Mus musculus: one gene and its partners. The protein of the gene in region 4 interacts with the protein of the main gene of each other region in a biochemical or structural test. Links are inferred from orthologs where the notes say so. Each region holds a gene or a part of one and is shown on either strand. Other genes may lie near its edges.

What was found.
Region 1: the proteins of Skp2 (region 4) and Ccna2 are reported together in a solved structure, tested with the Homo sapiens proteins (2 studies listed by BioGRID, with this or other methods). The link is inferred for Mus musculus from reciprocal best matches to the Homo sapiens genes SKP2 and CCNA2.
Region 2: the proteins of Skp2 (region 4) and Ccne1 form a complex in vitro, tested with the Homo sapiens proteins (2 studies listed by BioGRID, with this or other methods). The link is inferred for Mus musculus from reciprocal best matches to the Homo sapiens genes SKP2 and CCNE1.
Region 3: the proteins of Skp2 (region 4) and Cdc34 form a complex in vitro, tested with the Homo sapiens proteins (3 studies listed by BioGRID, with this or other methods). The link is inferred for Mus musculus from reciprocal best matches to the Homo sapiens genes SKP2 and CDC34.

The regions. Positions count from the first base shown.
Region 1 is NC_000069.6:36,566,040-36,572,522, reverse strand, and holds part of Ccna2 (cyclin-A2), read left to right. Parts: intron 1-219; 5' UTR 220-699; coding exon 700-885; intron 886-1,543; coding exon 1,544-1,787; intron 1,788-3,433; coding exon 3,434-3,543; intron 3,544-3,711; coding exon 3,712-3,935; intron 3,936-4,591; coding exon 4,592-4,799; intron 4,800-5,409; coding exon 5,410-5,523; intron 5,524-5,848; coding exon 5,849-5,982; intron 5,983-6,240; coding exon 6,241-6,289; 3' UTR 6,290-6,483. UniProt on the Homo sapiens protein: Cyclin which controls both the G1/S and the G2/M transition phases of the cell cycle. Functions through the formation of specific serine/threonine protein kinase holoenzyme complexes with the cyclin-dependent protein kinases CDK1 or CDK2.
Region 2 is NC_000073.6:38,099,829-38,106,974, forward strand, and holds part of Ccne1 (G1/S-specific cyclin-E1), read right to left. Parts: intron 7,002-7,146; 5' UTR 6,973-7,001; coding exon 6,959-6,972; intron 6,856-6,958; coding exon 6,768-6,855; intron 6,520-6,767; coding exon 6,451-6,519; intron 3,367-6,450; coding exon 3,218-3,366; intron 3,094-3,217; coding exon 2,958-3,093; intron 874-2,957; coding exon 727-873; intron 57-726; coding exon 1-56. UniProt on the Homo sapiens protein: Essential for the control of the cell cycle at the G1/S (start) transition.
Region 3 is NC_000076.6:79,682,711-79,690,060, reverse strand, and holds the end of Cdc34 (ubiquitin-conjugating enzyme E2 R1), read right to left. Parts: intron 5,244-7,350; coding exon 5,157-5,243; intron 5,057-5,156; coding exon 4,959-5,056; intron 4,829-4,958; coding exon 4,694-4,828; intron 2,213-4,693; coding exon 2,002-2,212; 3' UTR 1,663-2,001; downstream 1-1,662. Other genes in the region: Gzmm (granzyme M isoform 1 precursor), read right to left, coding at 596-650. UniProt on the Homo sapiens protein: E2 ubiquitin-conjugating enzyme that accepts ubiquitin from an E1 ubiquitin-activating protein, and catalyzes its covalent attachment to other proteins by an E3 ubiquitin-protein ligase complex. In vitro catalyzes 'Lys-48'-linked polyubiquitination.
Region 4 is NC_000081.6:9,136,410-9,144,348, forward strand, and holds the start of Skp2 (S-phase kinase-associated protein 2), read right to left. Parts: upstream 4,046-7,939; 5' UTR 3,783-4,045; coding exon 3,775-3,782; intron 3,295-3,774; coding exon 3,023-3,294; intron 1-3,022. UniProt on the Homo sapiens protein: Substrate recognition component of a SCF (SKP1-CUL1-F-box protein) E3 ubiquitin-protein ligase complex which mediates the ubiquitination and subsequent proteasomal degradation of target proteins involved in cell cycle progression, signal transduction and transcription.

The DNA of each region.
Region 1 (6,483 bases), on a different chromosome or scaffold from region 4:
CGGATATCAGTGAGTCACAGGACAATTGGGACAGCATTATGAGACCCTGCCTCAAAATCAAACAACAAACAAATGATATACAGGAGAGGTGAAACAATAGTAAACAGTAAAAGTTCCAGCGTTTCCCTATGTTGTATGGCAGCATCACAGAGAAAGAGAAAGGAGTAGTGTACCCAGGACGGGGCAGTTTGTCATTCAGATCCATACGCTCCTGCCTAGGCGCCACCCAGCGACCAGGAGAAGGCGCTTCACCCCTTAGCTGAGGCGAAGGCCGACACCTCGAGGCCCCGAGGGCTTGTCTGGACCGCCCAGCGGCTCCGGCAGGATCCTATGAGGCTACAGATCCACTGAGCAGCAGAGATCGGCCGAAAGCGGCCGCCCGCCCCGCCCTCCTCTGCGCAGGCGCGTCCTCAGGCTCCCGCCCTGTAAGATTCCCGTCGGGCCTTCGCTCGCGGCGACCGGCGCTTCTGGTGACGTCACGGACTCCGGACGCCCTCATTGGTTTATTTCAATAGTCGCGGGCTACTTGAACTACAAGACCAGCAGCCGGCGGGCGGCGCGCAGCTCGCGGCTCCTGGGCTCTACGCTCCTCCCGCCTGCAGCCTCTGCTCCGCGGGTCGGCCGCCAGGGTCCCGCGCTGCTCCGGAGCGGCGGGCGCTGTGCACGCTCTGCCGCCGACAGAACCGGACCGGAGCCGCGATGCCGGGCACCTCGAGGCATTCGGGTCGCGATGCGGGCTCAGCCCTGCTCTCGCTGCATCAGGAAGACCAAGAGAATGTCAACCCCGAAAAACTGGCGCCAGCCCAGCAGCCGCGGGCGCAGGCGGTGCTGAAGGCCGGGAACGTGCGTGGACCCGCGCCGCAGCAGAAGCTCAAGACTCGACGGGTAATAGGGCGCGGGGGTCTGGAGGAGGGCCGGGCGGGAGCGGTCCTGGGTTTAGCAGCCCAGAGGGCCGGAAAGCACGCTGAGCATTCCAGGGGGAGTCAGGCTGCAGTCTTCGCGGTCCGGGCGTTTCTAGTACCAAATAGTCCCACGAGCTCTGCCGACCCGTGTAGACCGCCCTTCGGCACTAGTGGCGCCGCGTTCCAAAAAATGCCCGGGGTCATACCAAGCGTTGCCACTCGCGTGTCGACTTCCCCCAGCTGTGTACCTTTCCCTCCACTTTTAAAGCCAGGCATTGCATTAGGATGTAGATCCCTTCCCCCTCACCATCTGCTTCCCAGATTACTACTTCAGGGAAGGACATAAAGCAAGTATTCTTCGTGGTAAATTCCGCCATTTTAGCCAGACTTGCTGTTTTGCTCCACCCTGGGGCTAAAGTTGTGAATCAGTTCTTTGCCCTAACTTTAGTCTTTGATTAGTTTGGAATTCCAGTCCGTTCTATTTATAGCCTTTGTAGAAATGGCTGTGACAGATCGGTTTACACACCTTTACCTGGGCTTTGCCTCATGGACTTATATGTTTCTTAGAGTATTTGGAATTAAAAGCTGATACCCACCGGGCTAGAAGCAAAGTTGTATTGAAAAAGATTCCTCCTCTTTAGGTTGCTCCTCTTAAGGACCTTCCTATAAACGATGAGCATGTCACTGCTGGTCCTTCATGGAAAGCAGTCAGTAAACAGCCTGCCTTCACCATTCATGTGGATGAAGCAGAAGAGACTCAGAAGAGGCCAGCTGAGCTTAAAGAAACAGAGTGTGAAGATGCCCTGGCTTTTAATGCAGCTGTCTCTTTACCCGGAGCAAGAAAACCACTGACACCTCTTGACTATCCAATGGATGGCAGTTTTGGTAAGGTTGCTTTTTATTTTTACCAGTCTCTCTTCCTTCTTTCCCTCCTTTCTGTCTTTTTATTCCCCCTCTGGGTTTCTTGAGTATCCTTGACTGTCCTGAAACTCAATCTGTAGACCAGGCTGACCTTGAACTAAGAGATCCACCTACCTCAGCCTCCCAAGTGCTGGGATTAAAGGCATGTGCCACAACCACCAAGCCTGTGCCTTTTATTTTTGAGACAGGATCTCAACCTGTAGCTTATATCTTGATATTTTGAGTTTTAAGATTATGTCTTACCCGATCATACACAGTGAGTTAAGATTACCGCAATCTCATGACTAGTACTGACCTATGAAAGGACTCAAATCTTTAACCGGCAGGAGGGCACTGCAAACCAACATCAAGTTTAATTAGATCGTAAATATCTATCTTAATCTGACTTTATAAATGTTTGGCTAGGAGAATAGATTTCAGTTTTGTGTCTGACTCACTCCTTAACATGCCAGCCCTAAGAGTGCTCCTTGAGGCTACAGTTTTAAGCATTGTGATATCTACCATTCGTTTAAAACTTGTTTGAATGTTCATCAGCTTGTAGGTCAGACACATGGAAGGCAAAATAGCTGCGGTAGACAGCTCTGCGGTTGCTATGACATCACTGCATGGAGACCAGAGATACTGGTATCTGTCACATTCTACCTTATGCTGTGTGTGTCAGCAGAAGGGGTGTGCTTGCCTGTGCTGGTACAAGTAGAGACTAGTGGAGTACTTGACTTTGGGGTATCTTCAACCACTCTTCCATCTCATTTCTTGATAAAAGGTTTCTTTGGAGCTCAGCGATTTGGCTAGACAGCCTGGCCATCGAGGCACAGGGATATGACTATTTTCAACCCTTTTCCTCTCCCACTCCTGGGGTTACAGATAATGCTTCTGTGTGGTGCTGGGAATGCAAGCCATATCTTCATTCAGGCATATGCAGCAGGCACTGCACTAAGCCATTTCCAGCCGCTTTAGTTTACTTAGTTCTGCTGATGGGGAAGGAGGATATGGAAACAGTTTATTACACAGATTCTCCCATCTCAAGATAACTGAAATGGTAAAAACTAGAGCTGAGTATATTAATGCCTATAAACAGCACTCAGGAGGCTGAGGCAAGATTGCCAGCCTAGGGCAACAGAGTCAGTTTCAGGCCAGTTTAGCCTATAGAATGAGACCCAATTTTAACAAACACCAAGTCCCTTACAGATCAGTGTTTGGACATGATATGACAAACTTGATATCTTTACTAACATTTGTTAATCATGCCATTTACCTGATTCTAATGACTCCCTCATTATGATCTGACTATGGCAACCCATGGGATCTGCAGTCTCTCTTAAGGCAAAAATAATTATTTTAAAACTTTGCTGTTACGTTCTTGTCCTAAAAGAACCATTGTTTCATCTGCTCATCTCTGTGGAGGATGATACTTTAAAGTAATTCTCCGTCTTCTTAGTAGCCTATTGGTGTACATACATGCATACATTTATTTCTGTTTTGGAACTAAGGTTATCCTAGAGCTTTGACAAAAGTCCTAAAACCAGAATTAGATGTTCTATGTTGCTTTGCTATTAGGGTGTTTTTGATTGGAAGAGATAAATACTTTGGTTTTAATCTCACACACACAGAATCACCACATGCTATGGATATGTCTATTGTCTTAGAAGACAAGCCAGTGAACGTTAATGAAGTACCTGACTATCAAGAAGACATTCACACGTACCTTAGGGAAATGGAGGTAAGGCTCTGCTCATTACAAATGGCTAAGTGAAGCAGAGAGGGTAATGCTGACGCCTGCTAACTACTAGCAAGTTACTCTAAACTTAAGATTATGGTGTATGCTTCTTTGTGAATGATGAAGTCACCTGATAATTATGTTAACTCTGATTCCCCCCCCCCCCTTCAGGTTAAATGTAAACCTAAAGTGGGTTACATGAAGAGGCAGCCAGACATCACTAACAGCATGAGGGCCATCCTTGTGGACTGGCTGGTTGAGGTGGGAGAAGAATATAAACTACAGAATGAGACCCTGCATTTGGCTGTGAACTACATTGATAGATTCCTCTCCTCCATGTCTGTGTTAAGAGGGAAGCTTCAGCTTGTAGGCACGGCTGCTATGCTGCTAGCTTCGTAAGTCCACCTAGTTTGGTTCAGAGTCATCATTCACTACTACTCCCCCCACACCCCCATTTATATATTTTTTGGATGTTTTGCCTGCATGTATATCTGTAGCACATGTGAGGTCCCTGCTGAGGCAGAAGAGGTCATTGGGTCCCCTAAGCTTGGTGTTATATACTGTTAAGAGCACCATGTGGGTGCTGAGAATTGAACCTGGGTCCCAGCCAATACTCTAACCATTGTACCATCTCTTCAACACCCAGTTTTAGGAATGGCTGTGGGATGATTCTGAACAGAGAGTGAAACTTATTTTCTAATCTAATATATAAAGCTTTCTAGATCTGGATTTCACATGCCTTGAATGAGCATAGGCCAACCACATTTTATCACACTAGATTGAGTTTGAAAGTGTGGCTCTTCTACAATAAAGTGCTTTCTGGGGTATAAGCTGTATCTTCCTTCTATCAGGAGATATTGTATGCAGGGGGCGAATCAGAAGTCCTTTAGTGACTTGGGCCTTTGAATTGGTTTTAACCATCTCAGCTAGAGATGTCAGTCAGCTGTCAGTGGGATGTGGTTGATGGAAGTGAGTGGAGTCTACAGTCTTTGCACTTCAGATTAAGACAAGACCTTCTGAATAAACTCACTCACAACTGCTTTTGTTATAGGAAGTTTGAAGAAATATACCCCCCAGAAGTAGCAGAGTTTGTGTATATTACAGACGATACCTATTCCAAGAAGCAGGTTCTGAGAATGGAGCACCTAGTATTGAAAGTCCTTGCTTTTGACTTGGCTGCACCAACAGTAAATCAGTTCCTTACCCAGTACTTCCTGCACCTGCAGCCTGCAAACTGTAAGGTTGAAAGCTTAGCAATGGTAAGTCCAGTTTGGGGGTTGTTTTTAGGTTGCAATTAAGGGGCAAGCACTGGTTTCGTCAAATAACACTGCTTAAGTCTTTTCGGACAGTTAATGCTCCAATACACAGAAAATGCTATGGCCCTCTCTACCTGTGGGCTCTGCACTTATGGTATAATAAACAGGCATTAAACGTAGCTGCCCATGTACTGGATAAGCACACACCAATCATATGTGTATTGTCTATTTTGTTTTACAAGTAATTCAGTGATATTCTATGTATATAGCATTAACTTATGAAAATAGCATGCATCTTTTATATGTAAGAGATTTAAGTATCTAGTGTCCATGGATAGGGGCTGAGAGGTTCAGGAGAGAACTTCCCAATGAATACACAAAAGTGACCATGCTGGAAAGGCGCTAACTAGTGGCTTAAAGAGAACAACCTAGTATATTAGGGGAGAGAAATGTAAGCTGAGAATAGAGGAAAACATTGAAATAATTTTCCCAGGGCTGATACAGAACCAGTGAGATCCAAGACAATGGAAACTGGTCAGGAAGCAAGGATTCAAAATCTTGAGTCTTATGTGTGATTATAAAAGTTGGGGTTTTGTTTTGTTTTTTATTTCAGTTTTTGGGAGAACTGAGTTTGATAGATGCTGACCCGTACCTTAAGTACCTGCCTTCACTCATTGCTGGAGCTGCCTTCCACTTGGCTCTCTACACAGTCACAGGACAGAGCTGGGTGTGTATTACCAGTTGCCTTCTCCAGTATGGGTGCCGCTTTGATTTGGGCTGAAAGCTTAGCTGTAAAGGTGCACTGAAAGCTCTGCTTCAAGAATCTGAGCCTTCCACCTGCTGCAAGCAGGGGAAGTAAACAGCCAAAATAAAAGATGGAGTGAGTGAGCTGAAACAGGGGGGACACCCTGAGTGAAGAATTGAGGAGGGAGCAACATTTAGAAATAACAAAACATCCTGTCAATGATTAGTGCCAATATTTAGATCAACTGTGAGCTTGTGGTCAGTGCCCTGTGCTGTTACAAAAAACTCAATGGTTGTCCCTTCCCTAGCCTGAGTCATTGGCACAACAGACTGGATATACCCTGGAGAGTCTTAAGCCTTGTCTTGTGGACCTTCACCAGACCTACCTCAAAGCGCCACAACATGCCCAACAGTCAATACGGGAAAAGTACAAGCATTCAAAGTAAGAATCCAATTCTTGTTGAATACAGTAACCTGCCACTACCTCAGTTGGCTCTTAAGTCATGTATTAGGAAGCTTTTGTGCCTTTGCTTCTGGTAAGAGAAGGGTAAGGGGGCAGATGTATGTGCTCTACGTATCAAATGTTTTTAAATTCATAATCAAGTAAAAGTAGCATTTCTCCAGTCTTGGGGTACATGAATTGTTCTGTAATCTCCCCAATGAATGTTTACTAAAAGTTTTTTTTTTCTCTGCTCAACAGATATCACAGTGTTTCTCTTCTCAACCCACCAGAGACACTAAGTGTGTGAGTGAAAGACTGCCGGCTTTGTTTGAAACAGGAGTCGCTCGGAGTCCATGCTGTACAGTTTTTATGTCGGGTTTTAGTTTCACAATCACTTCTGAATGTAGATGGTATAGCCACAGACAAATTATGGTATCCATTGCTTTTAAAATGGTTTTAATTTGTATATCTTTTGTACATGTGTCTATTTGGATAATTTTA
Region 2 (7,146 bases), on a different chromosome or scaffold from region 4:
GAGCAAGCGCCATCTGTAACATAAGCAAACTGGTGCAACTTTGGAGGGTAGATTTCCTAAAAGGGAACAGAAGGAAGATGCTATTAGAAGAAACCGTTCCTAGCACTTTCAGATTAGGACATGCATCCAAAATGGCTCTAGTATGCTGACGTGGAAAGAGGATACAATCAATGGCTCAACACTGGCTCACTTCAGCAACTGAAAGCATGCTAGCTATAAGAAGTAAAGCTAGCTGGCTGTGGTGGCCTTTAATGTCACAACTCCAGAGGCTGCTGGATCCAAGCAAGCTAGAGCTACAGAGATTCTGTCTCAAAAAGACTCATGGATAAACTGCTTAGACTTCTTCATTCACCCTATAGTCTATAAAGAACCCCACGACAACCCTTTTTATATTATTTTGAGGGCATGCAGGCCTCAAACTGCCCATTCTACCTTAGCTGTCTAAGTGTTAGGATCCCAAGTGGGAAACCACTATGCCACAATTTCAATCTCTTCAGTCCCAAGGTCAATTATGGTTAAAGTAGCTACTAAACTAAATGATCTATGGCCTTGTTCCTTACCCGCCTCCACCTGACACTGTCTACCTTAACTTAGAAGCGTCAGAGTTAAGAGAATTCAAGGTGCATATGACAGTTGTTCATAGGGGCAGAATTTAAGAAATAATGCTTATCACACAAAGAATGTTAGGGAGGTTTTGTTGTTGTTGTTGTTTTTGTTTTTTTTTACCTCAAGTTTTGAAGCAATAAATAAGGCTGAAATCCCAATAAGCTGTAAAAGTGTTTTTATGATATTATGTTGTGATGCCATGTAACGATCAAAGAAGTCCTGTGCCAAGTAGAACGTCTCTCTGTGGAGCTTATAGACTTCGCACACCTGGGAAAAGGATTCCATGTTAGAAAAGGCTCCTGAGGGGCAGCACAAGCGAACTTGCCTGACTTTTGACACAGTAAGAAAGCTAACTGCTTTTATGCAAGGCTGTCACCCTACTCCTCCTAAGCACAGCCCAGTGAGACCCAGGAACTGAGCACACTATGACTTACACAAACAGCAAGAGCAAATCAGCCAGGCTAGGTCTGACCAAAGTAGCACTTTTATAGAGACCACTCCACAAAGTCTACAGTTCTAAGAATGCAACCCCCTTCACAGGTTTCACCGTGACTCAGAAAAAGAACTGGTATAGTCTTCACTGCTGAACAATACCAGTTACATTTTCTTTTTGAAATAGGGTCTCACTGTGTAGCCCTGGCGAGAAATGGAACTTGTTCTGTAGCCCAGGCTGGCCTTGACCTCAGAGCTCCACCTGCCTCTGCCTCCTCGAGTGTCCACCAGCACTGTCAGCAGCTTTTCTTTCTTTCTGCAGTAGTGAGGATGTAGTCAACAGGCTGTGCCATAACACCTGGCTTATACAGTATGTCTAATCTGTACAACTCTGCAACCTACTTCCTGAAGATGCTAGAGACAAGCAAGCAGACTGGAGCTGGACAAACAGCTCAGTGGGCACGTGCTGCTCTCTAGGACCTGAGTTCGGTTCCCAGCACACACAGATGGGCTCACAGCTGCCTGTAATTCTAGATGACGTCCTCTTGGGACCTCTGTGAGTATATAAACACAGTGGCACACAGACATACATATAAATCTTTTTTTTAAAAAGAAAAGAGAGACCCACTTGTGGTGGTATATATTTATAATCCCACTACTTGGGAGGAGGAGGTAGAAGTTTAATATTACCTCTAACTACATAGCAAGTTCAAGGTCAGCCTGGGCTACATGAGAGCCTATCTAAAATAAAACAGACTCAAAATGTAAGCAATTTGTCTGAGCCAGGCCCCTGAAGCGACAAGTCAGCAGAGAATGCAGAGCATGATTCTAGGTTCGGTCCCAACAGGCTGCATATCATATAAAGTAGGGATACAGGTAAACCTGCCAACATGATTCTTCCACTTCTCAGCAGAAAATGCCATTTCTTCCTCACTATAAGTACCCCGGAAGTTCCCTTGAATCCAAGCACTACAAGTCACTCAACGTTTACCCCCAGCAAGAGGTGCACCACTCATCAAATTTCACTTTCTTTTGGTACTACTGAGGATTAAACCTAGGGTGTCATGCATGCTAGACCATCAGACTACTCACAGCTGGGCCCAGCCTTGAAATTTCATTTTAAAAAGTTTAGTGATTAGCTAGTTAATCTGTCATACTTTAAAAAATCTGCAATATGGAGGGTTCTTTTATTTGTTTGAGCTGTCTGGAATGGAGCCACAGGCCTAGACTATGCAGGCAGACTACTCCAGCCTCATGTGCTTGCTCATTGATTAACCACTGCACAGAACTAGGGAAGTGGATTCCCAATGTGATTAGAACAAGACAGTCTATTAAGAAATACTTCTGGGGGGTAAAGAATGGATCCCGGGAATTCAAATAAGCACATCTGAGATCTGACTGCTGCACATAACCTGTTCATATATGCCTATAATTAATGATAGTGACCGCTGCACAGCTAGTATGTGCATTCCAGTAGACAGCTTTTTTTTTTAAGATTTATTATTATATGTAAGTACACTGTAGCTGTCTTCAGACACCAGAAGATGGCATCAGATCTCATTATGGATGGTTGTGAGCCACCATGTGGTTGCTGGGATTTGAACTCAGGACCTCTGGAAGAGCAGCCAGTACTCTTAACTGCTGAGCCATCTCTCCAGCCCTCCAGTAGACATCTTTAAAACAATTTAGCATATATAAATATATGTAGACATTAATTTGTAATTAATAACTTATTAGAAAAACAAACTTTGTAACTGTTCACACTTAGATAGGAAAAACAATGAAATGCCAACTTTAATATGTCTAAGGGACAAGATTATTTCAGAAACTTCAACAGTTTAGAGAGCACACAGAGACTGCAGCAGCACAGAGAAAGGTAACAGTGGTGATGCCCCAGCAGCCGGAACCTCCAAGCTCACCTCCATTAGCCAATCCAGAAGAACTGCTCTCATCCTCGCCTGCAGGAGAGGATGACGCTGCAGAAAGTGCTCATCTCTCAGGTAAGTCTTTTCTTTGTTTAACATGATCCTCCAAACCTCTTCTCTATTGCCCCAACTGTAAAAAGAAAGAACAAGAAACATGAAAAACTCAGATAGATAGATGTCAGTCTGCACCCACAGTAATGTAGACCAGAAAGACCAATGACACTGAGAAGCCATGGGTCAAAGTCAACACCTACTTCAAGACGGGAAGTGGGGAGGCTCTGGGTGGTCTGATTTTCCGAGGCTGAAATGCAGTCCTGGGGTATTCAAGCTCATTGTCCTCTTCTTTGTTAGGGGTGGGGATGAAAGAGCAGGGGTCCACGCATGCTGAATTATCATCCCAGGGCTGCCAATAGAACACATGCCAATTGTTTGGAGGCAAACCAGCAACTTGTCCATTCATGGACTGGGAGATTACTGGGCTTGATATGCTGGCCTCGGCTAAAATGGAGGCAGTATGAAGACACAAAAGCCAAAGGCATGCCTCAAAGACTCCATGACACTTCTGTAACTAACTTCAGAAACAGGGACATCAACTGAAATACTCAGGTGGCCAACTGGACACAAAAAGTAACTTATGGGGCTGGAAAGATGGCTCAGCAGTTAAGAGCACTAACTGTTTGCTCTTCTAGAGGTCCTGAGTTCAATTCCCAGCAACCACATGGTGGTTCACAACCATCGGTAATAGGATCTGATGCCCTCTTCTGGTGTGTCTGAAGACAGCTACAGTGTACTCATGTAAATAAATACACCTTAAAAAAAAAAGTAACTTATATTACAAAAAAAGAGTAGTCATATAAATGGAACAGCTTCATTTGGTTTCCCCTAACTCAAAGCGAGACAAATTGCTACCTCATTAGCACTAAGTTGTGATCACAGATCAAACTAATGAGTCCAAAGAAGTGATTTCATATCCTATTCAATAGCCCACGTTACTCTAGTAGAAGTAATCAGAAGATTCAACACCCTCTCTAGCTTCTGCAAGCACCAGGTACAAACATGCGACAGACATACAGATTGGCAAAGCATTCATACTTAAAAATAAATTAGCTGGGTAGTGGTGGCACACAACTTTAATCTCACTCAGCACTTGGGAGGCAGAGGTAGGCGGATTTCTGAGTTCCAGTCTTGCTTATGCAGTTCAATGGTTTCTAACTCATGATCCTCCTGCCTCACCTCATAACTGTACCTAGCACCAACAGCTATCTTATTTTAAGCAGAGACCATTAAACAAAACGGATATGCCTGGGGATGTTTTCCTGAATTGAACCTGGGTGGCTTGCGGCACCCAGACCATTTTCACAGGAACCCCTGATTTCCAACCAGTGCTGCAGAAAGCTTCTCTCTGCTCAATGTAGAAAGAATTGAGCATGCAAATTACCCACAACAGCGCCTGCCAGCTGTGCGAGAAAGGCAGCTTCCTTTCAGCTCTGGCTTTGTATGTTTGGTATAGCATCACCGGCCCTGACTCAAAAGGTTCACAATTACCACCATACTTCAATCAAGACCAAGTTCTTTTGAAGGTACAAGCTAGGTGTCGCCCTCCACAGCCAGGTGGCTGGCACATCTGGGAGCAGGCCTTTAGAGATAAATTTAGTAGTTTCCAACCTGCAGTTCATAGACAAATTAAGTGTGCCTTCAACAGACAAAAGGGCTTCAAAGTTGGCTTTTTAAGAAGCCAGTGGATAAGGCAGAATAATTAAGTCTGGTTTTGAGTGTATATGAAGTTTTATACGGTGCCAGATCAGCCTGACTTTGAGATCAACTGCAACTGTGGCTTACCACCTTTTATCCTCATACCATAGTTCTTCCTTATGCAAAACAAGTAGAAAAATGGCTGACTAGCGTTCTGAAAAAAGTTATGTCTTGATGGATATGATGACTCCTGCATTTAATCTCAGCACTCAGAAGTGCTCAGGCAATCTTTTTGAGTTTGAGACCAGCCTGGTACATAGTGAGCTCCAGGTCACCCAAGGCTACTACAGTGGGAGCCATCTCAAAAACAAAAAACCAAATACAATAAAATGAAAAGGTTTGTGAAGAAGGCTAACAGGAGAATGGACATGCAGTCATTCAGAGCAACTGAAGTGGTGGTAGTGTGCGTGCTTCTAGCCCAGCACTCTGGAGGCTGGGGAAAGGGATCATTGAGTTCAAGGTCAGCCTGAGTTACATTTAGGGACCCTTTTTCAAAACCAAAAATAGTAGCTGAAGATAAGAATCAAAAATCTTTGTGGGCTTTCAGTATCATTGAATTTAATATGAGGACTCTCACTGGCTCAAAGTTGAGACACTGGGCTGAACTCAATTCAATAATGACAACTAAAACAACTTGCTGAAGAAAATGGGAGAAAAAAATATGGGATGCATTTTTCTTCTGTAGGGGCTACTTTTTTTTTTTTAAACAGGAAAAAAACTGACCCCCCCCTTTTTAAAAAAACAACAACAACAAAATGTCTACTGGGGTCCTGCCGAGAACTGCACATTGCTGCAGCCCTAGCTGGCAGAACATCATTGCTCAGAAGACATTCCTCACAACCATTTGTCTCTCCCTGCTCTACAGTCACCACTAGCCTTTGGGAGAAGAGAGATGAGGCCAACAGAATACTGGTCTTGCTCAGCTTTATCTTTGATGAAGGCCAAAGGTGTCACCAGCCACTTTGGAGATAGGCCGCTCCCCCACTGCAGCCATAACTATAGTCCCCAGCCATTGCTGGAGGCAAAGAGATAATAGAAGCTCTCTCTGCATGCAAGGATCTTCTCATATTATGATACCATGCTGCATTAGAAAGATCTGGCAAACACCACATTAGGAGGGACAGAAGAAATGGAGCAGCCAATGAAATACTGGTTGAGACACACGTCATTACAGATCCTTGCTGAGGCCACGTAAGGTCCAGACAGCAGTGATCAATGTAGTGAGCTGATGGTGGAACATTCTGGGTTGCATAGGAGAAAAGTTTAGTTTTTGCTACAGGGTCTCACTCTACGGTCTGGGCTGGCGTGGAACTCAGAGGGCCTGCCCTTGCTTCTCTACTGCTGGGATTAGGAAAAGTCACAAGAATGGACAAGGGAGAAAGAGTTGGGAGTCCTATCCCCCAACTAGCCTTCCGCAGTAAGACTGCAGGCCCAGCTCTGCTGGGTTTGCAAAGGACTCTGGGTTACCTTCTAATAAGACTCAGTTTCCCCCTGGGCTTAGAAAGGACCAAATTATACACTCACTCTGGTTCCTCCAGGTATCAGTACCTGTAACCTTAAAGGTGCCATTCAGGAAACACAAACCCCTCCCACAACCCCAGGCCCAACTGAGACCAGGCCACATTGACAAGCTTCAGAGGTTCAGCCATGTGGCCTGCAGCTCTGTTTTGGGAAAGTTGGAAGAAAGAAAACCTGGAACCCAGGAGGCAGAATACCCTGTAGGCAGCAGACCTACCTGACTGCTATCCTCGCTTTTCACAGTCTTGTCAATCTTGGCAATTTCTTCATCTGGGTCTTGCAAAAACTAAAAAAAAAAAAAAAAAAAAAAAAATCCCGGTCCACCATGGGTCCACATGGTGCGACCCAAAGACAAAAAACACAAGAGAAAAAGGGGGAAATGTTTGTTAGGTCATGAACGACATTCAACTAAAGGAAACCTCTCTCTCAACTAATTCTTTTCACTAGTAGGTAAGAAGAACCAAATTTGGTACCCAGGTAAGATGGAAGGGGGGGTGGGCTGTCCCCTTCCCAACCTGTATCCTTTGTACTCACCACGGCCACATTTGCCTTCCTTTTTCTGGAGCGGACTGAAAGGTCGGAGCCACCTTCTTCTTTCATGTTGCTGTGGTCCGTCGAGTCTCTGCAAGGGCATGGTGTCATGGGGTGCTGCTCCCCAAAAACTCAGGCCGCCCCTCCCCCACCGCTACTCACCCTTACCCTCCCGCAGCAGGGAGGCCACTCACCTCTCCCTTGGCATGGCTCAGGACTTGGGCTTGGAACTCAGACCTGGGAGGACAACAAGCAAGCATCGTGGTGAGCACGGCCCGCAGAGGGGACCTGAGTCTTCCAGTTCGTCCCGGGCACCCCTCCCCCCTCCCGCGCGGGCGGCGGCGGCGGGAGCCTCCTGGGCCCGGAGGCCGGCCGGGAAAAT
Region 3 (7,350 bases), on a different chromosome or scaffold from region 4:
CACACACCTCTAATGTCAGTGCTCAGGAGGCTCTGTAGCACAGATGGCCTCAAACTCACTGGAGAGCAAGGGTTTGAGCAAGGGTTTGAATTCCTGGTCTTCCACCTCCAGTGCTAGGATGACAGGTGTGCTCTACCATGCCTGGTGGAATGGAGTATGGAGCCCAGGTTTTCTGTACACCAGGCATATGCCCCAACTTAAGCTATATCCTTAACCCCATTTTGTTTCCTCTGATAGGTCTCACTCTAACTGAACTCATGGCAATCCTCCTGCCTCAGACCCCTCAAATACTGAGCTCAGAGGCCTGTCACCAGGCTACGTGGTTTTCTTTCTTTTTTTTTTTGAGACAGGGTTTCTCTGTATAGCTCTGGGGGTCCTGGAACTCACTTTGTAGACCAGGCTGGCCTCGAACTCAGAAATCCGCCTGCCTCTGCCTCCCAAGTGCTGGGATTAAAGACGCGCGCCACCGCGCCCGGCTCTACGCTGTTTTTACTCAGGGTTCTGAATCATCTGCTAGTTTCCCTGTACGTAATGCCTCCCATCCACAGCCCTCTGGATACCCGGCTCTGGGCCTCAGTTTCCCCCGAATGCTCACCTGCCCACAGTGTTTTCAGGGCCAGCAGTAGCAGCAGGGACCAGCAGACCTCCATCCTGGCACAGGATCAGTGGTCCCTGGGGGAAAGGGTTCCCCACTCTCTCTTCCTGTGGGGACAGGTGGCCTTCCCAGTACCACCCACCTTGCACAAGTGTCAACTCCTCCTACTTCACACCCTGCTGTGTGGTTTTAGAAAGCAATTCTGCTGTCAAAGCTGCCCCCTGCCTGGGGGGCAGCAACTATAGCCCAGTGATGCTCATTCTGGTGATTAGCACCAGGTAAACACTGGGTCTGTCTCAATGGACCTCAACCCCCACAGAGGATGACTCACAGGGTCAGTTCTCTCCTTGAGCCGTGTAGGTCCTGTGCTAGGCTTGGTGGCAGGCCTCTACCCACTGAGCCTTACTGCTGGCCCTGCAACTTTGTACATAAGGCTGGCTGCAAATTATACGGGTAGAGGAAGGCCTGAACTAACGCCTTTCCAACAACTTGTCCTTCTCTCATCAGTTATAAGCAGCACAGGTTCCATGAAGTGCTATTCAGTAGAGTACAGCTTTGTTCTGGAGACTGGAACTCTGGAGAGTTAACAGGCCCACGCAATGAAAGTGACACTTTCTTTTCCTTTCTTTACATGGCACCCAATGCTATTTCAGCACTGGGTCACTGTAGCCACCCTGCACAGCATGATGTGGTCAGAGCATCACTCAGCCTGTCCTTCCTGTGGGGAGTCACCAGGCTGCCTGCCACAGGGACTCCTCAGGCAGGCACTGGAGTTCCCAGGGCTGAAGAAGTGCCCAGGACACAAGGACTGCTGGGATACTAGTCCTCTGCACGCCTCAGGACCCAGGCCTTCTGACTGCAGGATGGAGGCGGACACAGACAGCCACAGTGCCAGATGCAGGAAGGTGGGATCTGCAGGCAGCAAGTTGCTTCTGGGCCTGGGGCCCCTGTACAATCCTGAGCCTTAACAGTCACTATCTCTTCCTGCCCATCCCACGGCCTTGGCCGGGCTACCCAGGTGGCCCTCAGTACCGAGTGCCACCGGCGTCCTAGGTGATTCTCTCAGCTTCTCAGAAAGCTATTTTATTTTATTTCACACACACCAAAAGCAGAGAGGAGACTGTGGTGCTGGCCTTCCTTGGGCTGGGCTGGAGTCTCTGGCTCCCCACCAGGCAGTCGGTCCCCAGCCTCCCAGGCTTGTCATCATCTGAAAGCTGAGTGGGGTGTTTGCCCTGCACCACAGCTCTTCTCCAAAGCCGAGGAAAACCCATGGGGAATACGGGGTAAGAGGACCTAAGGATCATGGGATGGGAGCCCACATGGAACCTCGGTGAGGTAGTCTGTCGCCTGAGGCCCACACGGGTCCTGCTGAGGTAAAATTTGTAAGTTTATTTCAGGGACGTGGGTCAGGACTCTTCGGTGCCAGAGTCATCCTCTTCATCCCCAAAGCAGCTGTCGGCCTCCTCCACTTCGCCGTCCTCATAGTAGTCGTCGTAGAAGAGGTCCGAGCCCTCGTCGGGCGCCGGCGCCTTGGTCTTCACGCAGTACTCGGCCAGCGTAGTGGGCACCTTCACACCATCGCGCTCCGCGTCCACCTTGGTCCCCAGGACCTGCTTCCTGGGGAGACAGGGCAGGTGAGGCCAAGGCCCAGGACAATGGGATTCCAAGAATAGACACTGAATGGAGGGCAGGGAGCAGGTGGGAGGGAATAAAGGGCGTGGGGACAAGGAGTGGCCAGTTCCCAGCAGGAAGGTAACCACAGCTGGCTGTGGGAAACAGGTTTGTCACTTAGTACTTGGAGGCTGAGGCAGGAGGCCTGCTGAGTCTCAGGGTGGCTTCAGCTGTAATAGGATCTGTCTTATGACAACAGTCATTAAAAAAAAAAAAAAAAGTGGAGGTGATGCAGTCAGAGTGTTTGTTGTGTAAGCACAAGGACCCAAGGCCAGCTCCCAGCACCACAGAAACAGCTGGGCACACCAGGATCCATGCTGTAATCCCAGTACTGTGGGGGCCACGACACTAGTTCCAGGTTAAAGAGCACACACCTACCCACATTCCACACCAACATCAAACTCCCCCAAACTGCAGCCTGACCTGAGGGGCACTCTGATGAAGGGCAGTCCCAGAAGAACCTTATGAGGTTCCAGGCCCCACAGGCCATGGATGAAGTGACAAAGATACGGGTGAAGCAACACATAAGAGCTTCCTTGCACAGGGGGCAGCAATTAAGTAAAGAAATCAGGGCCTGGGACAGAGCTTCAAGTGCCTGAGAGGTCAGGCCATCCTCAGGACAGTCGCAGTGCACAGGTCCTAATGCAAAAGGCAAGTAGAGCTGACACGGGTCTTAGCTTCCCAGAGGGAATGGGGTACAAAACAATGTTAGAGGGAAGCCTGTGACAGCAGCTCATTCTAACAGCCCAACCTGCCCTCAAGGCCCTTCTCACAGGCTCCCAGCTCTCCTGTCCTTGACTAGACACTGGCTCTCAGGTTGAATCTCAGGAGTAGTACAGGCCTCATGGTCACATTGAGTGTCTCCTGGTGTCAGAATGGTAAAAATAGCCTGGGGCTCCTGCTCTGGGACAGGGATACAGTGAGGAAGCAGCCAGGAGAGCTGGGCTAAGGGCTGCCAGGAAGCTGGAGAGCTGCTATAGCACAACACAGGGTAATCAGCCTTCTTCCCTGCCGGTGAAGAGCAGGAGGCAGAAAATTACAGGCCAGTCTCAACAGAGAACAAAGCCTTCAAGGGATCCTTGCTCACCTGCCCATTGTGAAGGTGACACCTCCATAGTACAGAGCTCAGACCTTCCTGAATAACTAATACCTCCATGCAGGACGATGGCGGCTACATGCATCTTGTTCTAAGGCCAGAGACTAACCCCAGTATCTTGCACATGTTGGACTAGCACTGACTACCAAGTTGCAGCCTATACCAATTCTGAGAAGGCAGGTTTGCCTTCTGCAGGACAAGGCCACAGGGCTCCTGCTGAGCAAGTGCTTGCCCTGTCTGTGGCTCCAGGCAACTGGCCGACAAGCATGACAACACTATAGGCCCCATGTGTTTGGGTCACTGTGTAGTCAAGCACTTGGTCACTTAAGAGGTAGCATGTGCTGTCATCCTGACATCATGAACATGAGGAGATAAGGAGTTATATGGAGGCCTGTCTCAGAAAACACAGAAGCTAGCTGGGCAGTGGTGGCGCATGCCTTTAATCCCATCACTTGGGAGGCAGAGGCAGACAGATGTCTGAGTTCGAGGCCAGCATGAGTTCCAGGACAGCCAGAGCTATACAGAGAAACCCTGTCTCAACCCCACCCCCCAAATCCCCACAAGAACAACAACAACAAAACAAAACACAGAAGCTAAGTAATAGGGGTCTGGCGAGATGGCTCAGCAGTTAAAGAGTGCCAACTACTTTTCCAAAGGTCCTGAGTTCAAATCCCAGCAACCACATGGTGGCTCACAACCATCCATAATGAAATCTGATACCCTATCCTCTCCTGGAGTGTCTGAAGACAGCTACAGTGTACTTACATATAATAATAAAATTTTGGGGAAAAAAAAAAGCTAAGTAATAAATACTAACATTCAGCATTGACTAGATAGAGGCAGGGTGTCACATGCTTAGAATCTCTCAAGTGAAACGTCATACCTAGCTTGGGGAGTGCAGAGACTGCCTGACCGCAGACAGGCGCTGAGAAGTGATGACAGACATTACCACTCACGGACTGCACAGGCTGCAGCCTGGGTCCCTGTCTCAGGACAGGCTCACAGTGGGCTCAGCGACCTCCCCACTTTGCAAAACTGCTCTAAGTTTCAGAAGCACAAATTCGAGTGATGTCAGATGGTGAGGATGTGGCCTAGAGTGCCCAGTCACTCATGGAGTTAAGCCAAACACAAGGCAAAGAGGATCTTGGCCATACTAGGTGGTCAACTCGGTGCTCTGGGGGCTACAGAGCCCTCCACACATCCAGCTGGGGATGCAAGAACAGAAACACAACAGTCCCCACCCCACCCAGGAGACACAGGTCACTCTTCAGAGCAGGCAGCATCTATTGTAGAGACCCAGCTGCACTGTTCAGGCTGAGAGCAGCGCTCACCGGATGATGTCCGTGTACTCGCGGTCCTTCCCCTTGCTCTCCTTCCATTTTCTGTACATCACCGAGGCGTCCACGTTGGCAGGCGAGAAGGTGTTGGGCTCATTCAGCAGCGAAATTACACTCAGGAGGATGGTTCTGTGGGGCCGTGGGTGCAAGCTCAGCTCCCCATAGATTCTGGGGGCTCCAGACTGGAGCGAGGAAGAAGGGACCTTAGGATACAGGGTGCCGGGGGGTGCCCATGGTACAACACCATGGCAGTTCTCACCTGACATTCTGTGTGGGGTTCCACCGCTCTGAGGGCAGCTCCCCACTCTGTGGGTCGTCAACTGGGGGATGGAGAATGGAGATGCACACGTCCCCTGTCTGTAAGAGTGACGAGGGTTAGACGAGGGGCGGGCACGTGCAAGGGAGGCAGGAGGTGTGTGTGGTGGAGTGTGCCTGAGGCAGGTATTTAGTGTCTTACCTCATAGATGTTTGGGTGCCACATCTTGGTGAGGAACCGGAAGGCTGGTGGGGAATACGGGTAGTCGATGGGGAACTTGAGGCGAGCCTACAGATGGTAGAAAATGGGGTGGCTCAATGGCAGCCCCTTGAGCACTGGAATTAGGGGTTATGCCCAACGGGGACAAAAAGCAGTGGCTGCCCCTGGTGTTCAGGTCCTGAAGCCAACCCCAGTCTCTGTACACTGGGACACACAAAGCACCTCTGTGACCTGACATGCAGGTTAGGAAAGGCCAGGCAGTAAGTATCACTTGGTGTGGGCTAGCTAGAGGAATGAGTCAGCAGATCTCCTGGACAGCCTCAGGCCTAAAACTAACACTATCCAAGCTCAGGGGCCCAGGCCAAGAATAGTCACCAGACAAGCTGGAACCATCTGCCTGGCCACAGCAGTTGCTTGTGGCTAAAAGTTCACCCTGCCAACTGCCCCCCAGACTCTGGACAGGTAGAGAAGGCCTGAGGTTTACCCTAGTCTTGGGGCTCCCCAAAGGCAGCTTCTAGTGTTCCCTGGACAAGTAGAGCCCTTAGGGAGACTGGCCTGTGACCTCAGAGCTGGCCAGGAATTCAAGCTAGAGGATCTGCTGACACACACATCCAGTGTGGCCTGTCAGCCCTGATGTCTCAGGAGAGCAGGGGAAAGTGGGATTGCTGCAACACCCCTCACGTCTGTGGCTCCGGATGCTTTATACGGATGAGCAAACTGAGGCTCAGGAACAGGAAGGGTGCTCCCAACCTCTTCCTGGACAGCCCCAAAGTGAAACAGGCTGGGCTGTCCAGACGAAGCTCCTCACAGTTGCCCCCTTACAGAGTCTCCCCATGTCTCAGCCACCCACACCATACAGGAGGCTCCCACGCTGACAGACTTGATTGACATCTTGCCGAGCATCCTAAGCTATCTCAAGAATTATGTGAGTCTAGGAGACTCTACCCACAATCCCTTTACAGATGAGGAACAGGTCAGGTGACCCTGCTCTGAACAGAACTTGTCCTCCTGGCAGTTCCCACTGCCCCTCCCAGCAAATACAGGAGACAAGGTGCTAAGAGCATCCAGATATTTCTTAATTCAGACCACATCCAGGTGGGAGGCAAGGAAGAAGACACACAAACAAATATCTACCATGGCCCTACACTAGGGACCCTAGATTGGCTGGGATTTGTGCATCCACCCGGTCCTCATCTTGTCCCTTTTGGCCCTAGCATGAGATTCTGTGATTCTGCTAGTTATTCTAGCCCCCAGTAAGCAGGATGATCTAACTGTGCTGATGGGGGTACCTATAGCTGGCCACACATTTCCAGTGTTGGAGGCTTCCCAGTGTTCCCTGCTCCCAACCACAAGAACATCTGGTGCATTGAGCGTGAAGCCACCAGAGGGCAGACGACACTATCTAGAAGGAAAAATCAGGCCCCTAAGAAGCCACCTGTTCAGTGGAACCTGAGAAAGGCTGTCAGGGTGGGGCAAACACAGAGCTCTAGGGTCCAGGGCCCAAAGAAGGAACCCAGGGTGTGGCTCCAAGATTCAGGGTGGACCCCCCACTGCCCCCTTGGAATGCATTACATAAAGCCTGGCTAGGGCTAAAGGTGGCTGTTGTCCAAGCAGGCAAGGCTGCCAAGGCCCTATCAGGGCCTCTACTGGAACTGGAGCAGGTGGCTGTCCAGGCTACACGTCCCTTCTCTGGGGACACATCGGCCAGCGGCTGCCCTGGTTCTGTGTTCCAGCGTAGGGGGCAGGGCCTTGGGATACCAGCTAGCAGCTGCCCGTGGTCCTTTATGTCTTGGGACAACCTAAGAACCTTTCCAGGTTTTACCACATGCTGGTAGGGTGAGGAACAACCTGGGAAAATGCTTGCCAGCAGGGGGCTCCAGAGGCTTCTGTGTCTTGGGGTAGGGGGAACTAACCGGAGGGGGGGGGTTGAGAGGGGGACGGGACAAGAAGGAAAACAACTGTCCCCGGAGAGACCCTTTACCAGAAGCATTATGGAAGGGTGGGGACAACAGGGAAAGATCCTTTCCCAGGTACAAGTTTAGTCCAGTGTAGGACAACCTGGGAACACGCTGACCAGCAGCAGGCTCTAGAGGCCCCTGCGTCTCGTGGTGGGGAGTTGCCTGGGCATGCGGCATACATTAGCAGTCCCTGATCCTGTAGCCTGTTGGAGGACAGC
Region 4 (7,939 bases):
ATGAGTCACTTCTGCACAAGGGGCTCCTTCCCTCCTTCCAGCCCTGAGGACACTCAGGGTCTGAGCTACTACTAACACCTCTGTCTTCCTGGCAGGCATGTAGCTGTGTGCAGCTGCTATATACTTTGTCCTTCCTCTTCAACTCCATTTTGAAACTCCTAAGAAACAGCAACCCTCCCTTATGTTCTGTCTGGGTCCTCACAGTGTTTTGCTTCAAAGATGACTTTTGTCCTACATCTGTGGACACGTAGATGTCATATTTTATAACCAAAGCTATGTACAATGGGCAAGTTAATCAAAACCTACTCATCTTAGCAGGATCTATCTCACCACATTTGGTTGGTCAAACACCAAATTGCTACTGTTAAAAACCCAGGCTCTAAAAATAAGAGTCACTTTAAGTTTTATAAAGAAAAAGATTTCTATATGTGCAGAGTCAGATTAACATTACTGTAGACAGAGGATGCTTCTCAAGCCAGTGTCAGAAACTGTGTGGACCATTACCTATTATAAGCCACTGTCATACTAAGACCTTTACAGTTTTACTCAATGTTCAGATGAACACTTTAAGTAGGAATTATTGCTCCATTTCACAGATAAGGAAACTAAGGCCCAGAAAGTTCAAGTCACTTCCCAAGGTAGCTCCCAATGGCAGCATCAAGGTTTAAATGTAGATTTGTCTGAACTTACTTCCATACCCCTCTAGTTAATCTCATATATTATTATATATTCAGTTATGTTTTCACTTTGAGACAGTCTTACTGCGAGGCTCATGCTTTCTAGAAATCCCCATCTTCTGACTACAGCCTCTTAAACTGGGACCAGAGAGACGTGCCACCATACCTGGCATTAATGTGGACTCACATGCTATAACCTGAAGATGACTCCCTTTCCAAAAAAGTATTGAGAAGCCCAAACAGAATTTTTTTTTTTTGAGACAAGAGTCTCATTGCGTAGCCCTGGTTGTCCTGGAAGTCACTGTATAGGCCAAAGAGCTTCCAATTCACAGAGATCTGCCAGCTTTGGCCACTGGTGTACTGGGTTCAAAGGCATGAGACACCACAGGGGACTACAAAACAGGGATTTTCAAGCAAGCCACGGATCTGCTCACCACCCTGTCTGCAGACAGCGCCCGAAGGAAGGACGGAAGAATCCATTTCTTTACGCTGGCTTTGCAAGGCTTCACTCTGATGCTTTCTTCAACGTCTTTTTCCATTCCTCACCCAATTTTAGTTTAGACTTTGGTCACCTCTTCCACTGCTTTCATCCTGACCACGGCTTATCATTCTCTCACTGCTCTACATAAATCTCTAGGGGTCTGCTGCCTATCCTCTACCCGATACAGTTCAGCCTCAGCTAACCAATGTGTCCCTTTGGAGGGGTCACCGAGCCGGGGCGCCAATGGTCCACTCTTTTAATCCCAGCACTTGAGGCAGGCAGATCTCTGAGCTGGAGGCCAGCCTGTCTGAGTTGGAGGCCAGTGAGTTACACTACAAACAAAGAAACCCTGTCTCAATGGACGACACTGAACGAGGGGAGAGGAGTGAGTGTTCCAATGAGGAAAGATCAGCCCCACCTGAGGCCGCACCTCTCCCTACTCTGTCCACTCTCACTCTGCTTTCCTGTTCTCCAGCATCTTATGTGGCTTCCCTTTACTTTAGGTTCCCTATGCCAAGGGACATTTTCACGCGTATTCCTGCATTCTCCCCTTGTCTTTGCTTAAAGGTCACAGCCCAAATAAGGATGTCAGCCAATAACCAGTTTGCAATCTATCTTCAGATTCCAAGACTTCCTCCATTCTGCCTCAGTTTGACCCCCTCTTTGTTTTTAGCCACGTTGGCCTAACATGTTACAGAAAGTACCATATCCATTGGACTTCCAGCATTTCCTCACTAGAATGGAAGTTCTAGGATTTGTCTGTTTTGTTCACTGCTATTATCTGGAGCCACTATACTGTGGAGGACAGTGTGCTCTCAAAAACACTTCCTGAATCACTCTTTTGAGACAGGGTTTCTCTGTGTAGCCCTGGCTGTCCTGGAACTCACTCTGTAGACCAGGCTGGCCTCAGAAATCCGCCTGCCTCTGCCTCCTAAATCCTGGGATTAAAGGCGTGTGCTACCACTGCCCGACCCTGAATCACTTTTTTAAATGACTAGGGGGTGGGGGTGGGGAAACCTTGACAAGCCTCAGGTCAACACACTATATTTACTCTAAGGCTGCCAGTCCTTGAGTCTGGATCTGCCCTGGAGGCGCTTTATTTAAAAATGTTTGGGGAATCAAGGAGTGGGAGTCACTAGTGAGAGAAGAATTTCAGGTAAATTCTGATCTCATCAATCCACCCTGCCTCCTGGAGACAGAGCTGAGAAGAAAGCTGACAATATAAATCTATTACAATAATCCAGGAAGAGATGATGAAAGCTTGAAACAGCTGCCACACAAGAGTGAAAGACACAGTGACTAGCTGGGTAGTGGGGGCAGTGGGGATGAGACCACATTTCAGGGTTCTATGACTGTAGATGCAATGTCACAGTAAGGGAAACACCACACCCCCAAGGGCCTGCTTGCAAGCGGAGCAATCTAAGTCTCTTCTACTTAGTAACATTTACCTTCCTAATGTGCCTACCAATAATCTAAGTCATTACCATACAAAGCTTGCTCAGATACAAAGAAGTATATAGAGACAAAAGGGGACCCTCTAAGATCCCTGCTTCTGTTCCCATATGTCAGTGTACTGAGCTGGACTTTGAGCAGGAAGATTCCTTTCTAAGGAAAAGGGCAGGAAAAAAGCTTCAAGTCAATTGTTGACCACAAGATAAAGACCAACCAAGATTCCTGAAGACTTAATGACTGGAATCCATTTCACTGCCACACTTCCAAACTAGGCAATTTTAGGCACCAAAACTAGGCAATTTTAGGCACCGATCCAAAAAGATTCCCCAAGGAAATAATTCAATCGAATTTAGTTAAAACAAAATAGTTCAACCCATTACAATACAGTTTGGATCTTAGTGTTGTGCATTACCTGGAAAGTTCTCCCGACTAAGCTTCGGCCGACGGATGATCACAAAGTCTTTGTCACTCCCTTTGCCCTTGACTCGTTTCCTTGGAGGGCTCTGGGGGTGGCCGAGGTTTGAGAGCAGTCCATGTGGGATGTTCTCACTGTCCACCTCCTCCTTCTCCAAGGCCGAGACACCCATGCCTGATAGCAGTTCAGAAGTCTTGCTGGAATCCCATCCCCACGTGAAGCTGGTGGTGACGTTGCCACTCTGGTCCGGAATCTCCTGAAGGTGCTTCCTGCAGAAGGGCAGACATTCTCTATTCCTTTTGAAAATACACCCCTAAATAATTCCAAGGTAGGCATGAAAGAAGAGTAAAGAATGGAGTGGAGAAAAGTCCCAGCAAGTGACAGTACTGCATTTTTTAAACGTGCCTACAAGCGAGAGAAATACAAGAATGAAAGAGAAAAATCGGGAACATATATACTTTGAAAGGCTTTGGGATTTATGGTCACGCAGAAGGCCTCAATAATTTCTTCCCGTGGAGGGAAAAAGAGGGACGGCACTGATACCATGACTCAAAGTAGAGGAAGGAAAACTTAATTAGGAAGCCAAATTAAACTCCACATTGATATTCGCACTAAAGCATTCATCCATCCTTTTTCTCTAAGCAAACATTCACATAACCAGATTATTTGAACAAGAAGCAACATTCGCGGCCTAAAAGAATTCAAACGGTTCATTCATGTTTTGTCCGGTTTTTTTGCAATCGGTTTACCTATGCATGGTGTCCACTGATTCAGGAGTTTTGAATGCTTGAATTAATTGAAGCGCTGCCTGCCTTCCAGACTCCTGTTTTAGCGCTCGGCTTAGAGTGATCCCCGGGGCCCCAGCAGTTGGACCCGCGAACTAGCAACGTTCCATCACCACCGCGCGCGCGGAGTTCTGCATCCCGCTCTCCAGCAGCCGCCTTCTGACGCCCCGTTGCCTGCTGGGAATTGTAGTTCCGAGCCTAGCTCGTAGTCCTGCCTGGGTTCTTCCACTCTGATTTCGGACCAACCCTCCAGATACCCACAACTCCCTGCGGCGCCGGGCGGGATTGAAGGAGGAGGAGGAGGAGGAGGAGGACAGGCAGGCGGAAGTGGGTGGAGCTCCGGCTGGCTGGGAAATGTCAGCCGATTGACTGGGAGCAGGTTTTCCTTTTCCCGGAGCTCACGGGCCTTCGGGTGATCACCGCCACGGTCGCCCGGGACTGAAGGATCCGTGACCCCGGCAGGCTGCGGCGGACGCGAAGCTTCTGAGTCCCTTCCAGACGCTGTCTGGCGAGGTCCGACGGTGAGCGTGAGGGGGGCGGGGACGCGTGAGGTGCGTCAGGGTCTGGGGTCCCGGCCCAGTCCCTGGCGGACATAGACTTGGGGGGAGTTCCAGATGGTGAGTGGCCGCCGCCGCCAGGCCCATCTCCGGGGTCTCGATGGCCCGCCAGGTGAGAGGCTGCGGGTGGCACTCCTGCCATTCGCCTTCCTCCACCTGGCAGTGGGCGGCCCTTAGGACTGGGTCTGTGGACGCGATCCTTTCCTCACTTGTAAACTAGGCTCGAGGACGCGGCACACCTCATGGGCTGGCACTGAAGATCAAATCAGCGTGCGAGGGGAAGCCTTTTTCGAGCTAAAGCGCAGCTCCAAGAGGAGCGATGGTTTATTTTTAAGGCGGCAGGAGCCAGCAGTGGTTCCCGCGTGCATCCTCTTGGATCCTTGATGAGTCTCCCAAATACCAAAGGGAAAAAGGGAGGCTCCGCTTGCAAGGAGAGACCACCCTGAAAGCTGTTTAGGTGCCTCTGACTCAATCCACAGCCTGTCCTAGAATCTCTCTGCCTAGAAACTATGCTAATTTAGCCTCTGAAGAGGTCGGGGGCGATTAGATTAGAATGACCATGCAAAATTCAGGTGTGCAAACTGTGCAACAGGGGAGAGGGTAGGGGGATGCATTTCTAGTCCAGTAAAAATGAAGATTTATAGAGTTGAGAAAAAAGCAGGCCACCTTCATCAAAAACATTAGAATATTGGTTTAGTATGTTAGATTGCATACACTTGTGTTTCTTTGTGGAGAGAGCAAGATTCGTTTTATAGTGGAATTAAATCCTTCATGCTCAGTTTTGTCTTTGTTTCTAGCATAATCTTTGCATCAGTTACTTCTTGAGAGGAAGAGATTCATGAACTTTTAGTTCCTGTGAGTGAGATTGGTGTAAAAAAAAAAGACCTTTTTGCAAATTGGTTTTACTTGAAAAGAAAGACTAGGAGAATAAGTATGTAGTCACAGTTTTGTTATGGAAAGTATCTAAAGTGAGACCTTCTGAAATAGTGTATAAAGTTATCTTTTGTTACTTTGAAAAACTCATTTGCCTTCTCTTGAACTTTGTCCTTTCTGTTAGGATGTAACTCGTTCAAGAGTAAATTCTAGTAAATATAAAACAGCCCTGAATTCAGCTAAGAGTTAGCAGAGACCTTAGGATATTTAAATTAGTGGGCACAAGGTTCTCTCTAGGAAAGGAAAGCCTATCAACTTTGAAATTAGGAGCCTCCTGATTTGCCTTGATAATGAAACCGGTGTTCTTTTGCATTTCTTTAATCACAGCTATTTCCATAATATACTGAAAAGGTTTGTATTGATACACACACGATTCTTTTTATTTTTTTTTTCCTTTGGTTTTTCGAGACAGGGTTTCTCTGTGTAGCCCTGGCTGACCTGGAACTCACTCTGTAGACCAAGCTGGCCTCGAACTCAGAAATCCACCTGCCTCTGCCTCCCAAGTGCTGGGATTAAAGGTGTGTGCCACCACTGCCCGTTACGATTCTTTTTGATAGAGGAATTGTGTCCATTGAAGATGTGAGGTTATTAGCTACATAGAAACTCACCATAGAGACTTTAAGAGACTGATCTCTTAAACACTACATTGTGATTGCTGCTAATGTAAAATATTTTATTTCCTGATTAATCTTATTTAATCTTACTTAACACATTGTATTTTATTTTAATAAGTCTTTTAAAACATAGTTTTAGCATTAGAATGAATGTGAGTCCAGGATAACAAAATCATTTTCGATAACTGAAAGTATCATTAGGTTGAATAATGTCTAATGTTCTCTGGAAGCCTCAGCTAGAACACTGACATAAATGGAGAAAGGCAATAGCAGTGCCATTTACACAGCTAAAACCATGTCGTAGTTACAGGCAGTCACTGTCTGTAGGGCCCCGGAGAGTCTAGAAAGGACTGCCCATCACAACTGACATATATGCTGTATGTGTGTCCATCACAACTGACATATATGCTGTATGTGGGTCCATCACAACTGACATATATGCTGTATGTGTGCCCATCACAACTGACATATATGCTGTATGTGTGTCCATCACAACTGACATATATGCTGTATGTGTGTCCATCACAACTGACATATATGCTATATGTGTACAACTGTTGGTCCCATTTTTGAAAATCAAATACAACCAGAGAAATACAATGAAGCCTAAAGGCACCATTGTGACATAGAGAGACTAAGAGATTCCTTTTGCTCCTTCTGTTATTTAGGTTAGAGGAACAAAATGCAAGAGACAGTTTTAGCAAGCATGTTTCCAGTTGCCTGTCAAATTCCATAACTATCTCCTTTTCTTCCTCAGTTTGATTGTTATCTTCATTTTCTTTGATTTAATGATCTGTATTGGCAGATTAGATCAATAACAAAAATATTCTTATTTCTTCTAGCTTACTTTGTAGTTCTTTCATAAAAATTAGAAAAGAAAAACTACTGTAATTTAAATGAAATAATTACCCACAAAGGAAAAAGTTAAATTCCCTATTAAACATGACTTTTTGAGTATTGAGTCTTGAGTAATCTTGAAGACTAGTAGAATATTTTTAAATTATTCTTTATGAAAATGGAACCATAGAAATTATTTAAAACAAATTGTATTTTAAATGGATGTCTGGATTGGAGAGGAGACATGAAATTGAAATCTATTCTCTGTGGTCAGGATACCTTACTTCGTTTTGCACATACTGGTGTGAGAACTTGGGTAAATAACATATCCGCTCTGCCATCTACTCCTTATTAAGCAAAAATTCTAACAATCTTTTCTCATTAGTTTGTAGGAACTAACTAAAAAAACAATGTACAGTGTAATATAATAAACATACATTAAATCTTCAAGTTCCTTTGTAAAAACAATACTTTGTGAGAAAGGAATCTCTAGATGCCAAAGTAATTGGTATTGGAATTCTTACAGTTCCTACAACTGAAATCCTCAAGGGTTTGTTGAGAGTTTAGAGTTCTCCTTACCCACTGACCTGGTTGTCAACTTCAGCTCTCAAGCCTTGCCAAAGATGAATCATCTGCTCCTGCCTCTTGTCACACTTAGGAATCCTAGTCACCTGGTTTGTCAGTTTCAAAACATAGGCTCTTGAGTTATCTAACTTTTATTATGTCACCTAGATGAGTTAAAATACTTATTTACATTAATACTGCAACTGGGGTGTGGCTCAATAGTAGACAGTTTGTATTTAGGCATCTGAAGGCCCTGAATAAAAGAAAAAAATTAATATCAATTCTGGTGAATCTTTAGGTCTTGATGGCCAAATTTCTTATTGATTTCAGAATTTGGGGATTTGACAGATTTTTGTCAGTTTTTTTGTTTGTTTGTATTCTCATCAGTTGCTTCTGTGTCTTGCTCTTTTTCTCATTCTTTTGCTTAAGTTCCTTCTCTCTCCTGTCCTCTCTGTTTTTGAACATTTGAAATTCCTCAAATTCCGAAATTATCTTAACCTTAAATTTTTTTTCACATTGAGCATGTAGAACTTTTAACAGCCACAACATACATAGAAGACAGTACTCCTGAACCATTAATTTTAGCAAGATGGTTATAAAAGGCATTTGAAAATAATAGCAAAT